Linked DNA regions of Rhinolophus ferrumequinum. The protein of the gene in region 2 purifies or fractionates together with the protein of the main gene of each other region. This does not show direct contact. Links are inferred from orthologs where the notes say so. Each region holds a gene or a part of one and is shown on either strand. Other genes may lie near its edges.

What was found. The genes of interacting proteins can lie anywhere in the genome.
Region 1: the proteins of RNF185 (region 2) and ERLIN1 purify together in Homo sapiens (affinity purification with mass spectrometry; 3 studies listed by BioGRID and IntAct, with this or other methods). This does not show direct contact. The link is inferred for Rhinolophus ferrumequinum from reciprocal best matches to the Homo sapiens genes RNF185 and ERLIN1.

Annotation. Positions count from the first base shown.
Region 1 is NC_046299.1:24,344,805-24,352,014, reverse strand, and holds the start of ERLIN1 (erlin-1), read right to left. Parts: upstream 4,491-7,210; 5' UTR 3,672-4,490; intron 3,400-3,671; 5' UTR 3,389-3,399; coding exon 3,276-3,388; intron 1,516-3,275; coding exon 1,434-1,515; intron 1-1,433. Other genes in the region: CHUK (inhibitor of nuclear factor kappa-B kinase subunit alpha), read right to left, coding at 7,141-7,170. UniProt on the Homo sapiens protein: Component of the ERLIN1/ERLIN2 complex which mediates the endoplasmic reticulum-associated degradation (ERAD) of inositol 1,4,5-trisphosphate receptors (IP3Rs).
Region 2 is NC_046308.1:20,179,796-20,187,005, reverse strand, and holds the start of RNF185 (E3 ubiquitin-protein ligase RNF185), read right to left. Parts: upstream 4,775-7,210; 5' UTR 4,615-4,774; intron 1-4,614. UniProt on the Homo sapiens protein: E3 ubiquitin-protein ligase that regulates selective mitochondrial autophagy by mediating 'Lys-63'-linked polyubiquitination of BNIP1.

The sequences.
Region 1 (7,210 bases), on a different chromosome or scaffold from region 2:
AAAAGCCTCTAATTTCTAAGGCTCTGATGATGCCATTAATAACATCATTGTAGACTGTTTGAGCTTTTGGTGAGGTCACATAATTAAAACGCTTTCTTTCATGGAGGAATAAATGAAGTCTACAGCAGTTAAGTAATTTTTGCTAAGTCATGTAACTAATTGGTGCCAGAGCCAAACCTAAGTCTCCAGGTTTCCGGCCCCACGTTCACTACACCATACTGCTTCCTAAGAAATCAGCTCAGTTTAACAACTTTCACAAATAGAATGGTCAGGAATATAAGTGGGTTAACAACCCCTACTTCAAGAAGCTTGGAGACTCTCTGAAAAAGACACACAAAACTTAGAGAACAATACAAGACAACATTATTAAGAGAAATAAGACCACGGGACAAAATTTACAATACAGACTTTAAGAGCTATAGATTAGAAGGAGAGGGATTTGCGATGAGCCTTTAGAAGGCTGGCAATTCACAGACAAGAGAGAAGGAAGGAAGGGAGAAATGGGGAGAGAAGAGGTGACAGTATGAACCAAGGCAAGAGTGAATAAAATAAATATAAGAAAACAATACGGAAATCGGTCTGACTAAAGGAAGAACACATTTCATTTCAACAGACACAATTCTTGCCCTAAGCCATCTAAAAGGGAATTGGAAGGAAACCTGGAGAATTTAAGTATTCATAATGAAACTCTAACTTAGTGGGAAGCCTCGACTTAAATTACAAGATAAATACATTAAAATTTGCCTGAGTCTCGAAAAATCAGCAGATAGTAGACAAATTTCTGAATTCAAAGATTTATAATCACACTGAGTGTGCAAGAGTAGTCACAATAAAATCCTGTTTTGTCATCTTATGTCAAGATATATTTAATAAGTATCTCCCATGGCCAAGACACTGTTCTCAATGATCAGACGCTATTTCCAATATTCTGGAATGCTATCAAAATAGAACATTCACTAAGGTTCCACATAATATTGTGCTGAATGTCCCAGACAAAAATGTGAGGCAGAAAAGCTGTGTATTAAAATTCAGATCCACCATGTTAACAGTAGCCCAAGAGCTTGCCTCTATGGAAACCAAACACTGTTCTACACCAAGTGATCACTGATTTGTATTTCTAAGTGTGTTCTAAAGTCCTGATTTTATTTTCACTGCATCAACAGAAAACACCACTATATAGACGGGAGAAATCAGTTCTAGTCAGTTTTTCCAAGCTGCATAGGTATTACTGCTTATATACTTCAAAAAGAGTGAGGTGGCTCAAAATCATAACCTGTGCTGTGACAACTGTACTTTGAACTTTAATTTCTGCATTTAAGTAAATACCACCATCTGCTTAAGCAATAAGGAAATGTATCTCCACCCACAAATGTTGTAACTGTTCCTGTCACACCTGTCTATCCAGTGTGGAGGCTTTCCTAAGAATCACTCACCTGCACAGATCTGAACGTAGTAATGAAAGGCAACATGATATGATAGCCTGGTCCACTGGGGTTAGTTAGTAAAGCTCCTCCCCTGCAAAAAGATGTTTCAATTTGACAAGATTATAGAGAAATGCTCTTTCCAAATCTAAAATGCTGTAATAAATATTCACTCTTACTCATGCTGCTGACCTATTAAAGCTTCACTAATATGAATTACTCACAATGAACAACTGCTGGTCCCTAAAATATCTGCCACAGCTAACAAGGTGAAAGGATCACATTAAGCTGCCGATGTTACAGCTTGTTTCATAAGCTCGACCAACCATACCTCTGGGTCTCCAGCACTGCACTCAGGTAGGAAGGATTCTCCTTGGTCTTTAACCATCTGAGAAGTACTTGTGAAAAAAAATTCTAAGGCTCTTAGTTGCTATACTTTAATTGCACATAACACGAGTTCAAAACATAATACATTTAATCACTATGTTGAAAAAAAAATGACACAAACTTTCAAGGGAGGAGAGAACTTCGAAGGCTCAAGAATCTTTTAATCTACCTACAAGGCAATTAAAATACTGGGGATATAAAGTCTATATAATAAACAACAAAAAATTAGCATAGAAAGATAAAGGGTAAGGGAATACAACTATAAATAGATAGGATGTAAGCGTGGACTTATTTACCAAATGCTGGAATGTGATAACTATGAAAGCACATCTTGGAAATTATAAAAGGGAGGCATTTTGGAGGCAGATATAAAAAAAGTCCTATTTTACATTGTGAAGAATAACTTCATAGAACTTAAGTTTGTATCTTGAAAACAGACACAGGTTTGCAAAAAATCCGTTAACTAATAACTTGAAAAGGATGACCTGTTTTAGGTCCATCCCTAAATTCTTTGAGAGCCATGCATTTTCCTTGGTTTTACTGCCAAGACAAGACGGAAATATGGACTAATCTGTCATTTTTTATGCTAGACCTCCATCTGCTAAGACATATCACTACACTTGTATTTGAAACTAGCGTTTCACAGAGAAGACTGTTTCTAGGACTCAGAATGGATCGAAAAGTAGAAAATACCACTTTGGGAGGATGATGGAAACCAGAAGTGGAAGCCCTTTCAAATACAGCATTAGCACAATTTCTGCAGACTGTCCTCTGTCTATATCAAAAAGAATTGGTGGTACTATGTTGAAGGAAAAGCTATTCGAGCTCAACTAGAGAGCAACACACTCCACACCATTTCTTTCCTCAACCTGAAAAGAAAGGGTAAGGTGGCAGGCGGGTGGTCCATCAATGCTGTGTTTCTCTCTCCAGGTCCAGGGAAGACATACGAGTAAAAACAATTGTCATGGTCATCATTATTTGGCCTTATAAGCCAAAACCAGACACTACGGGCTTTTAAAAGAAAAAAAAAAATCTAAAGAACCATCACAAACGCGACCCAAGCCAAGTTCTAAATTGAATCTAAAGCTGCAAACTGAAAGCCTGCACAGTTGTACGGAATACGACAATTTATCCATTTCATCAGTTACAGGTGGAGTGACCTCTGCCTGCCTGCCTGTCTTTTTTCTACAAATGATTGCACTTACTGTCTACCAGGAATAACTGGAGGGACTCTTAACCTTGGCACCAAATGGACATAGTACTAAAGCTGTCCACCACCCGGAGGGGGCTCTGCAAAAGCCTTCCTTTCCCCCCCATACTCTCCCTAGGGCTGGGACGAAAATCACTTTCTAGGACTGGAGAAGGCTCTCCGGACGCTACAGAGGAAACAACTTCTTAGATGCTCCTCTCCCGGGAGTCCCCTTTCTACCTGCCGGAGAAGCTGAGCGGGCTGCACACGCTGCTCACCTGTAGTACACAGCCAGGTGTCCTTCCTCGATCTTGTGGATGGAGGCGTAGAGGAGGACAACCACCAGACCCACCACTGCAGCCACCAGAACCCGGGCTTGAGTCATATTCATGCTTGTTCCTCCTGAATGAAGGAGGAAAGGACCCCAAGGCCCGTGAGCGACAAGCCTACCCCCTCGTTTCCACCCTCTACATCCGGACAACTGGCTCCCTCCCGCAGGCCGAGCCGGGAGTCCTGTGCCTCTTTTCCCTCATTCTTTCCTCCTCGCAGAACCCGTTCTCTCCTCGCCAACCTCTCCGCCGGAGGCGGCCCGCAGGCCGCCCCTGCTCAGTAATCGTCGTGACACCCCCAGCTCCCAGTGGCCGCTCCCCCGCCCCCCCGCAGAATGCACTAACTGAGAAGGGGGCCAGGGGCAGAGTTCGAAGGCAATCCGACCCCTCCGCGGCGCCTCACCGATCAGTGACGCATCGCCCCCGCCCGCACGTGCAGCCGCCTCCCCGGCCACGCCAACCGCCGCCAACAGCCGGCCCCGCCCACTCGCCCAGCCCTGCGGCTGCGCAGGCACGCACGCCGACGCAGTGCTCGCCCTGCCACCAGAGACGGGGAGCGGACGGGACAAAATTCTCCCGGCTGCCCTCCGCGCAATTTCCCTTGAAGGTACGGAGGCTCTGTTTTGTGCACTGCTGGTTTCCTGCTCCAGAAGAGAAGTCGGGAATCTGGAATAAGGGATGCAGAGAAAGCAGAGGGCCTCTTGTTCTTTTGCAGAGACCCGCCCCTACACTCAGTGTGGTAGCTGTTCCGTTTTATGACCTTTTGTGGTTTATACCGAACTCTATGTGGCAAGCATGTGCTTCAGGGACAGATCCTGCACTGAATTCAGGAGCAACCAGACTTACTGCCAAGTAAGGTGGAAGTTCAGAAGAGGAAGATACTCAATCTAACCGCATATTCACTCATCAAGTATTTTTCTGAGCACTTATTATGCCAGAGTGATGATCCAAAGAGGGCTTTATGAAGGCCATCCAAGCAATAGGAACAGCGTCCTCCAGGAAAACACTACAACAGTGAGCATTTGAGCTTCCTTGAAGCCAGTATGATGGAAAGTAGGATGGTAGGCTAGGCTAGGCTCAGATTTTGAAAGACTCAAATGCACTTTTTTCTTCAGGGAGCGGGTACTGGATGGCTACAGAATTTTTCACTGCATATTCTTCTTTTCTTTTACAATATCCATTATGTGCATGTTACCCAAAACAAAAAGGACAAAGTTAAAGAGTAGAGATGGGAGTGAGATGGATAAATACAAGGGAAATAAGTGCAGCATATTAGAGTAGGTTGGGCAAGAATGGTTCCTGTAAGCCTTGGAAGGCTAGCAGTGGGAGCACAACTGGACAAGTAGGCTAAGATTTAAGGACTCTGTAACGTCTTGGGCAGGGAAGTATGGGAAAGCAGTGCTTTAGGGCCAGTGAGTCTGCAAAATGGCTTAGAGGAGAGACACAGACTGGAGGCAGGGAAGCAAAGTGGTTAGACAATTGCGGGCCCAAAGTTACAATGGCAGTAACTGGAAACAGGAAGGGGTAAATAGAATCAATTCTTCATGAAAGCAAGCCCTCCCAGACCACTTTACCCTCTCCCCTCAATAAGTGCATTTACCTGTATCATTCATTTGACTCTTACTACCTAGGAATGTCCAGGACCTTGTTGGTTCCAGATAGGTGGTATCTGCAGAGCTTAGCTTTTTTAACTAACGAAAAGCAAAAAGAATGAAAAATAACTTGTTCCAGTCTCTGTTTTCTCTTTGCAGAACTGTTTCACGCACTCTCTTGATTTCTAGTCTGAGAGGGGCAAGGAACCCCTCCCTGTGCCAGTAACAGTATCAGATGACTAAAAAGTTAGAAGACAACCCAAGGTTTCAAACTTAGATGACTGGGAAAATGACACTACTAGAAAAAATAGGGATGGTGTGTCTAAATTTATAGGGCAAGATATGAGCATGGTTTTTAGACATGAATAGTGGTGACAGGACATCTCAGGTGAAAGCACTATATTAAAGCAGCTACCCAATATGGTCTTTACTATACATCCTGTATAATTCCATACAGGAAAATACAGTAAGAGCCTATTACGTTATCCTCTGCTCCAGTTCCAATTCATGGAAACTTGAAATTTTCCCAAATCATATTCAACTACAGTTGACCCTTGAACAACACACGTTTGAACTGTGTGGATCCACTTACATGCACTTTTGTTTTCAATAAATACAGTTAACCCTTCTTATTTGTGGGTTTCGTGTCTGCAAATTCCATGGATCAAAAATGGTATTTTCGCATTCCCAACCTCGGTTGGATGAATCCACAGATGCGAGGCGCCAACTGTAAAGTCACAAGTTCCATGTGGATTTTCTGCTGCGTGAGACTTGATGCCCCTAACCCCACTCATTGTTCAAGGGTCACCTGTATTCATCTGATTTTAATGAATAGAGTCAAAAAGTAATTTAAAAATCATTTAATACACAAAGTGAAAAACTATAATACAAAAGCATTTCACATTTTTTTAAAAAAACAGTATCTTCTAAATTACTTAACAGATGATAGATCCACAATCCTTAATCTGAAATTGTTAGGGCCAAATGTTTCAGAATTAGAAATTTTCAGATTTTAGAAACATAATTCAGTGCATATGCCATATTACATAAACCTCCAGCAGGGTCTGTGGCAGCACCCTTCCCCCCGCCGAATAATCAAACATGTTAATATTTCCACAGCAAAATAAATGAATATTCACACTAAATGGGATAAGTATGTTCAGTGTTACTTCATGTTAATTTGCGAGTTTTGTCATCACGCTTCTGAAAAACCTTGTTTTCAAAGCTTTCTGGAATCACAGATAAGGGCATGCAGACCTTTATAAATTTGTACAAGACATGAAAGATTCCTGAAACAAATGACCCATTTTTACAAATGAAAAAAAATAAGCTTTCAAATACATTATAAATTAACAGGCATCTCTTTGATATTACTAAATGTACATCTTAAATACATATACACATAGAACACTTAAGATTTATCAGTCAATTGGTATTGAAGGCACAGATACACAATCCCTCCTATAGGAAAGGAATACTGTCAAATGTGCAGTAAAATGGAAAATGGGATTGACCCAACTCCTTATGATGCCAGGAAGAGCACTGCTGAGTGCAACACAAGGAGGTAGGGGTATTCTTCAAGAAGTGCAATTTGACTTGTGAGCAGTCTCTTCCACAGAAACACAGGTAGACAACTTTTACTTAGAACATATATTGAGGTTTCTTCTCTGTATATACAGAGGGTGCCAAAAAAAGTGTATGTACATTTTAGGAAAGGAAAAAACTATTAAAATTGTAATACTCAACATACACCGTTAACAAAAAATGAATACAAGTCACCTTTGACTTCTGCAATTACAAGAGGTGCTCAAAGTAGTTACCATCAGTGTCCAGACACTTTTGATTATGGCGAACTACTGATTGAGCAATGGTGACCAAAGTGTCCACTTGTATACATTTTTTGGCACCCCCGGTATTACTTTTGGCCTAATGCCCAAAAGTTAAGTGTTAAAAGATATTTTTAAACAGTTATGTTTTACGAAGTTTAAAGACAAATGGATTGCAATGATAGCTAAGTAGCTGTAGTATTTAAACAAATTCTGTCAGTTCAGGGGTTATGATTACCAAAAGTCAAAATATTGCTCTTGTAAAATCGTGTAGTTTTTTTATCACAGCCATTTCTTCCATTGAATGGTATCTGAAGAAGGGTCTCATGGGAGAAAAACAAATTTCCAACACGTGCAACAACTTCCAAAGGTTTGGGACAGTGAATAAGTGGCAAGTCATTCTGTTAACCAACTCCAATCAAGATTCTAAAACCAGGCATGAAAAAGTTACAATTAGATGTTGACT
Region 2 (7,210 bases):
AGCACTGCCCAAGGCGATCGCAGGTCCCAAATGTTCCAAACCACCCGACTCTTCTCCCTGCTCTGACCAAGCACCAGAGTAGCTCCCAAACAGCAGGATCCTATATTGGTCTTACCACATCTTGAATGATGCTGTAGTACCTTTTTCACTTGACCATGGCCACCCCAGCTCTGCACGGTCAGCAGTGGTTGGGGTTAAGCAAAGCTCTGTACGGTCAGCAGTTTCAAAGGGACAACTTACTCTGCTTCAGCATGTTCTACCCAACTCCATTCAGATCAGGGGATCTGCAAACTCTTTAAACAGCTACATGGAAAAATTGTACATGATGACAAATAATTCAATTACAAAATGGGCAAAGGTTTTGAATAGACATTTCTCCAAAGAAGGTATATAGATGGCCAATATGTTTATGAAAAGATGTTCAACATCATCAGTCATTAGGAAAATGCAAATAAAAACTACGAGATACTGCTTCACATCCACTAGGGTGGATGTAATAATAATTTTTTAAAAGGACAATAACTGTTGAATAGGACGCGGAAAAAATGGAACCCTTATATATTGCTGTAAATTGGTGTAGCTGCTGTCGAAAACAGTTTGGAAGGTCCTCAAAAAGGTAAACATAGAGTTGCCATATGACCCAGCAATTCTACTCCTAGGTATATACATCCAAGAGAACTGAAAATATGTTCAAACAAAAACTTTGTATGGGATCAGAGCAGCACTATTCAGAATCTCCAAACAGCCATCAAATGATGAATGGATAAACGAATGGTCTATCCATACTAATGGAATATTATTTAGCCCTAAAAAGGAATGAAGTACTGCTATACGAGTATGCTAAAACATGGATGAACCTTGAAAACATGTTTAATGAAAGAAGCCAGACACAAAAAGCCATACAGTGTATGATTCTGGATTAGTGGATGGGAAGAGGGGAGCATAGGAAGTGGCTGCTGATGTGCACAGGGTTTCTTTTTGAGGTGATGAAAGTGTTCTGGAATTAAGATAGTGGTGATGGTTGCACAACCTTGTGAACATACTAAAAACCACTGAATTGTACGCTTTAAAATAGTGAATTTCATGATATGTAAATTCCATCTAAAAAAAATTTGAGACATTCTACAAAATAATTGCCCAGTCCTCTTCAAAAGTTTACAGTAATGGGGGTCGGCCGGGTGGCTCAGGCAGTTAGAGCTCCATGCTCCTAACTCCGTAGGCTGCCGGTTCGATTCCCACATGCCCCAGTGGGCTCTCAACCACAAGGCTGCCAGTTCAACTCCTCGAGTCCTACAAGGGATGGTGGGCAGCACCCCCTGCAACTAAGATTGAACACGGCACCTTGAGCTGAGCTGCCTCCCGGATGGCTCAGTTGGTTGGAGCACTGGCTCTCAACCACAAGGTTGCCGGTTTGACTCCCGCAAGGGATGGTGGGCTGCGCCCCCTGCAACTAGCAACGGCAAATGGACCTGGAGCTGAGCTGCGCCCTCCACAACTAAGACTGAAAGGACAACAACTCGAAGCTGAGCTGCGCCCTCCACAACTAAGATTGAAAGGACAACTTGACTGGAGAAAAGTCCTGGAAATACACACTGTCCTGGAAATACACACTGTTCCCCAATGAAGTCCTATTCCCCTTCCCAATAAAATCTTTAAAAAAAAAAAAAGTTTACAGTCATGAAAAATAAAAAAGACCAAGGAACAATCTCAGCTGGAAAGCGACTAAGGAGACTTGACAACAAAATGCAATATGGGAAACTGGACTGGATCCTGGAACAGAAAAGGGACATTAGTGGGACAAGTGGCAAAATGTGAATATAGTCTAGTTAGTATAGTATTAATGTTAAATTTCTTGTTTAGGTAATTTTAATATGGTTGTGTAAAATGTTAACATTAGGGTAAGTTGGGTGAAGAGTATATAGGAAGTCTGTATATTCGTTTTGCAAGTCTAAAATTATTTCAAAATAACAAGTTTAAAAACATATGTGATGCAGGTCAGCGGCTGGCAAATTTTTCTGTAAAGCACCATATAGTAAAAACTTTAGACATGTGGACTATACATGATCTTTGGGGCAATGGCTCAACTCTGCTGCCAAAGACAACATGTAAATTAACGAGAAAGGATCTTACTTTCGGACACTGGAATTTGTATTCCAATAAAACCTTATTTATGGAATTACAGGAATTGGATTTTCCTATAATTTCCATATATCACAAAATATTATTCTTCTCTTGATGTATTCCCCACCATTAAAAACTGTAAAAAACAGTCCCAGCTCACAGGCCATGCAAAAACAGGAAGTGAGGCCAGATTTGGACCACAGGCCAAATTTTGTGGACTCCTGCTCTAGGTCAGAATTTGCCAATGTGTGCTTCAGTTAAAAAAAAAAAAAAAGTGCTTCACATCAATTCAGTTTGGCAACACTAGATTAAACAAGGTTAGGCACATTTCTTTATTGCAGATATCTCAGGGACCTTAATGTGGTACTATACACTGAGAAGTTCCAAAAAGGGATAATGATCTATAGTTTTTACAAACTTATTATTACCATAGAACACTTTTTTTTGGAGGGGTCTCTTCAGATTAGCGGCCTGAAAAATGCACTATGTATATACCTGTTTAGGTATTTTCTTAAAAAGAAATGTTCAGATTGAGAAGTTTTAAAAACACCATCAAATTAAAATCATTTTACCTAGCACCTGGATGATACCTGAATAAGAATTTCGCAATTTATTTTTTTAAAATCGTAGGAAACACAAACAAGGCAGGAATATAAACATTGACAGAAAGTCTTGGCTGAAACCCAACCTTTTGGGGGGTAGGAAGCATGTCAGCAGAATTGGGTCATAATATGGAATCTTTGCTCCATAGGACAACGTAAGCATCCTAACAGGTTTTGAAGTAGCAATCTGCTTGGAGTTTTATAAATCACAAAATAGGAGTTTTGATGTTTGATTAGAAAACTAAAGATATAAGATATATAGAAGCATTACCTGCAGATAACCCATAAATGAGGATGAACTGACATGTCAAGTCCATAAAAGGACCGGTTTTAAACGCTGGATGGAACGTTAGACCATAGATTGCAAAAATCCCCTTGGTAGACACAATATCTATACAACACACTTCTGGAGAGAGGATTAAAGGGAGACTTATGTCCCAGGGAAGAAAAGCTGGCCTAAACAACCTCAAGGGACCCTTCTGACTGTGATCCAATTCTGTGATCCAAAGAGTTCACTGGCTTCTCCTGATCAAATACAAAGTCTTCCTTCAGAGGCATTTCCAAGTTGTTCTAAGAAAATAAGCTATAAACAGATGGTGTGGGGACTCTGCTTGGTTATTCATTCAGCAATGATCTTAAGGCGTCTTTATCAGATGGACCATTCCAAAGTCCTTGAAAAGGATGGTTCACAGGACAATCAGGAAGAGATTACAAGATACATTACATTCAGACCCACCGCCTTACTTCTACAAGATGTAGGCTGAGGGAATGGAGGTGTCAAGAAAAAAGGGCAGAAAAAAGAAGTCAGCTCCAGAAAGATTCAAAATAATTACTCAGAATTAGAAGCTGTCAAATGGGAAAGGACCACCATCTAATACCTGTATACCTCCTATAGCAGGAAGCTCACTACCTTTGGAGGCAACCCATCCATTGCTGGGCACCTCTGACCAGCATTAAGTTCTATTAAATCAAAATCTTGTCTTCCTGTAGAAACCATCTATTGGTCCTAGTTCTGCCCTTTTCAACCCCAAAGATGAAGTGGAAGCCCTCTTCACCATAACAACTTTTTCAGTTTTTAAAGACAGTTCCCTTCCATTGCTCTCTTTCCTGGGATAAACACCCAGTTCTTTCAAAGATCCTGAACCGGCTCCAGCTGCCTCAAAGCAAAGAATGGATATCTCGTAGTTACAGCAGGAAAACACTTAAGATCAGTGGGCTTCAAACATCAGCATGTACAGGACACCCGAGCCATACGTTCCAAACGCAGTTTCCCAAGTTCCCACCCAGATTCTAAATCACAGGTCTTATTTGAGTCCCCCATGGGAAAGCATGCACCCCTATAGCATTCCAAAGCAGATGGTGTGAGAACGGTATTTTGAGAAGCACTGCCCTGTTTTACAGACGAGGAAACTAAGGCCCAGCAGAAGAAAGGGATTTGGCCCAGAACGCACAATCGGCTGTTGGCGGCGAAGTCTCTAACCCGGGTCTCTTATGCCCAAAGCCCAACTCTGTTCACCACGCTTACCGGCCTCGGCTTCTCCACTCGGGGCAAACTTATTAAAAACACATCCACAGGAGAGAAATGGCCTCGAGCGGGGGACAGAAAGAGAGTTATAGTGAGTCCCTGCCTGGAAAGGAGAGCTCGTAAGGAGCCTTTTCCTTTCTCGGGGCCTCAGTTTCCCCCAACTGTAATCACTGGACGAAAGACCACATGCCAGCCCGACCTCTCTTCTGGGGAGGAGGGCCTGAGGCGGAGCCAGGCTTGTTGTCTCTGCGCCCCTGGACTCAGGTGTCGCAGCCCGTGGCCCGGTGAAGGCGGGACCCGGTCCCCCGCCCGTGTCCCTCAACCTCGGATGCCCCTAGCTGCTCCCCCCACCAGCCCCTCAGGTACCTGCCGCTGCTCAGCTAACGCCGCCGCCGAGGCTGCCCCAGCTTCTCCGTCAGTCGGCTGCTCCGCCGGTCTGTCCGCCCAGTCAGTGGATCGGCCTGGACCTCGGATCACTCCTACGCGAACTCCAGTCACCTGACACAGAATCGCCCCTCTCCGAGACTTCCGGCCGCAACCGGAAAAGGTTGGTCCGCTGAGCTGTTCTCCGGCCCACGCACGAGACTCTAAGGTTCCGCTTGCGGATAGGAAAGGGAGGAACTTAGGAGCTGTTTGGCAGCGTTTTAAAGATCCTTGGTCAGGACAGGGAAAGTGCCAGACAAGCTTGGAACATCTTGTTGCACCAGAATGTAAGGATGATGGGCATCCGAATAATGGGAATATGTGAAAGGACAGAGGAGCTTACTTAAAGGATATCCCACTGGCCAAATTGGAGCATTTTTGAGCATCGAAATACATAATGATAGTAACAGAGTATAACTAACTGAATAAAATGCTAACCCATGAGTCTTTACTAATATAAATAATGTAGATAAATAAATGAGGGAGAAGAGAAAAGTCTTCCTTTTAGTAGAAGCCAACTAACAAACATGATGGAGTTAGAAAATCAATAATGAGTGGTAAAACTAGAGGAACAGGATGTTTACACAGTAAAATTGTCTCCCATAAATCACTTATTGATTACAAAGGGAAAATAGTATTTTTACAAAGGTATAACCTCACAGAACAAGTGACTCAAAGTAATCAAAGTTAATGTCACCAGCTACAGGTCAAGTAGAGATCACGTGCCCCTCAATAAGATGCATTGAGAAGGAGGCATCTCTTCTGTGACATTTATATTCAAAATGCATAATCCAAATCTCATGAGGAAGCATGAAATAAACTGAAATCGAGGGACACTACAAAATAAGTGTCAATATCACGAAAGACATTTGAAGACTGAGGAACTCTTCCTGTTTAAATGCAATTAAAGAGACATAACAAAATATGGTTGGATCTTGGACTGGGGGGGAGGGAAGGTAGAATAGGTATAATGGACAATATTGGGACAAGTGATGAAATTTGAATATGGATTGTGGATTAGCATATTGTATCAATGTTAAATTTTCTAAAATTGATCATTGTATTGTGGTTAAGAGGAAATATTCCTCTTGTTCTTAGGAAATATTCACTGGAGTACTTAGGGGTAAAAGGGCACAATGTCTCCAACTTAATTTCAAATGATTCAGAAATATATATATATATTATAGAAATGATTAAGCAAATTAGGAATATATATATATTTATTTATTACACGAATGATTAAGCAAATTAGGAAAAATGTAAACAAGTGGTGAGTCTAGGTAAAGGGTATATGGGAGTTCCTTACATAATTTTTGCAACTTTTCTTTAAATTTGAAAAGATATAAAAATTAATATTTACCCTCTAAATAGGGAAAGTGCCTGGGTCCTAGCCTGTTTACTTATTTATTTATCAAATATTCATTTATGTGCTAGGTACTGGTTATGTGATAAGAGACAAGCTCTTTGCTTTCATGCCTAGTGGGAAAAATATTAAACATGCAATCACAGCACTAATGGATTACTTATCTTGAAAATAATAATAGTTAACATTTACTGAGCTTAACTAAGCACACTCTACACAATGGTTCATTTTCATTTAATCCTCGCAGCAGCCCTATGAATGGTTTTGGTGGTTGTCTCCATTTCACAAATGGGTAAAAGAAAACTTTTAAAAGGTTACACAATTTTATCATTTTATTAAAAGTTTTCAAATCACATATCATTTAATTAAAAGGTGATGGAGCTGCAATTTGCACCCAGGAAGTTGTTTTCTAGAGTTCTTGACACCCATCTTCATTGTTTCATTAATTCAACAAACATTAAGTGTCTACAGTGATCCCAGGGATTGTATTTGGGCTTGGGTCTAAGTAGGGGGTGAAGGCAGTAGATGAAATAAACTTATAGATGAAATTCCTCATCTGCCAGCCCTCTTCCCTGTTCCTGGGGACAGGGAGTAGTAACACAAGATACGTTTCCAGTCACACAAACCTGGATTTGAGTCCATCTTCTCATAAAAAGAAAAGGAGCCCCTGATATCCCGGAGCTGGCCTGGCATTCACAGGTAGGCTTTGGTGTTCAGTTGAACATAAAAATGTCACAGAACATCAACATCAGACAAGGCCACTCTGTGACTGTGATGGATCAAGACAATAACAAGACCTCTCCATAATCATACCTGAACCAGATAAAACATGAGCATTATCCAAACCACAAAAATGACCAAACATTTCCCTATCCTGGCTCATATAGAGATTGCTGCTTCTTTACCAATTACAGCTTTAGTCTCAGTCTAGTTTTCCTGCCTTCTCGATAGGATTTATCAAGATACCCAAATCATAGACAGTATCCAATCCAGATCAAAACCCTGCTGCTTCCTTGACCCTCCCCCAAATTAAATTCTAAATGTCCTTTCTAACACTCTGTTTCTGAGACGCCTCATCATTCCTTGTGGTTCACATCTCCCACCCCTCGCTGTAACAAGTAATAAACCCAACTTGTTCAACCACAAGTGCGTTCCTGTAGGTCTTTCATTGGTGGG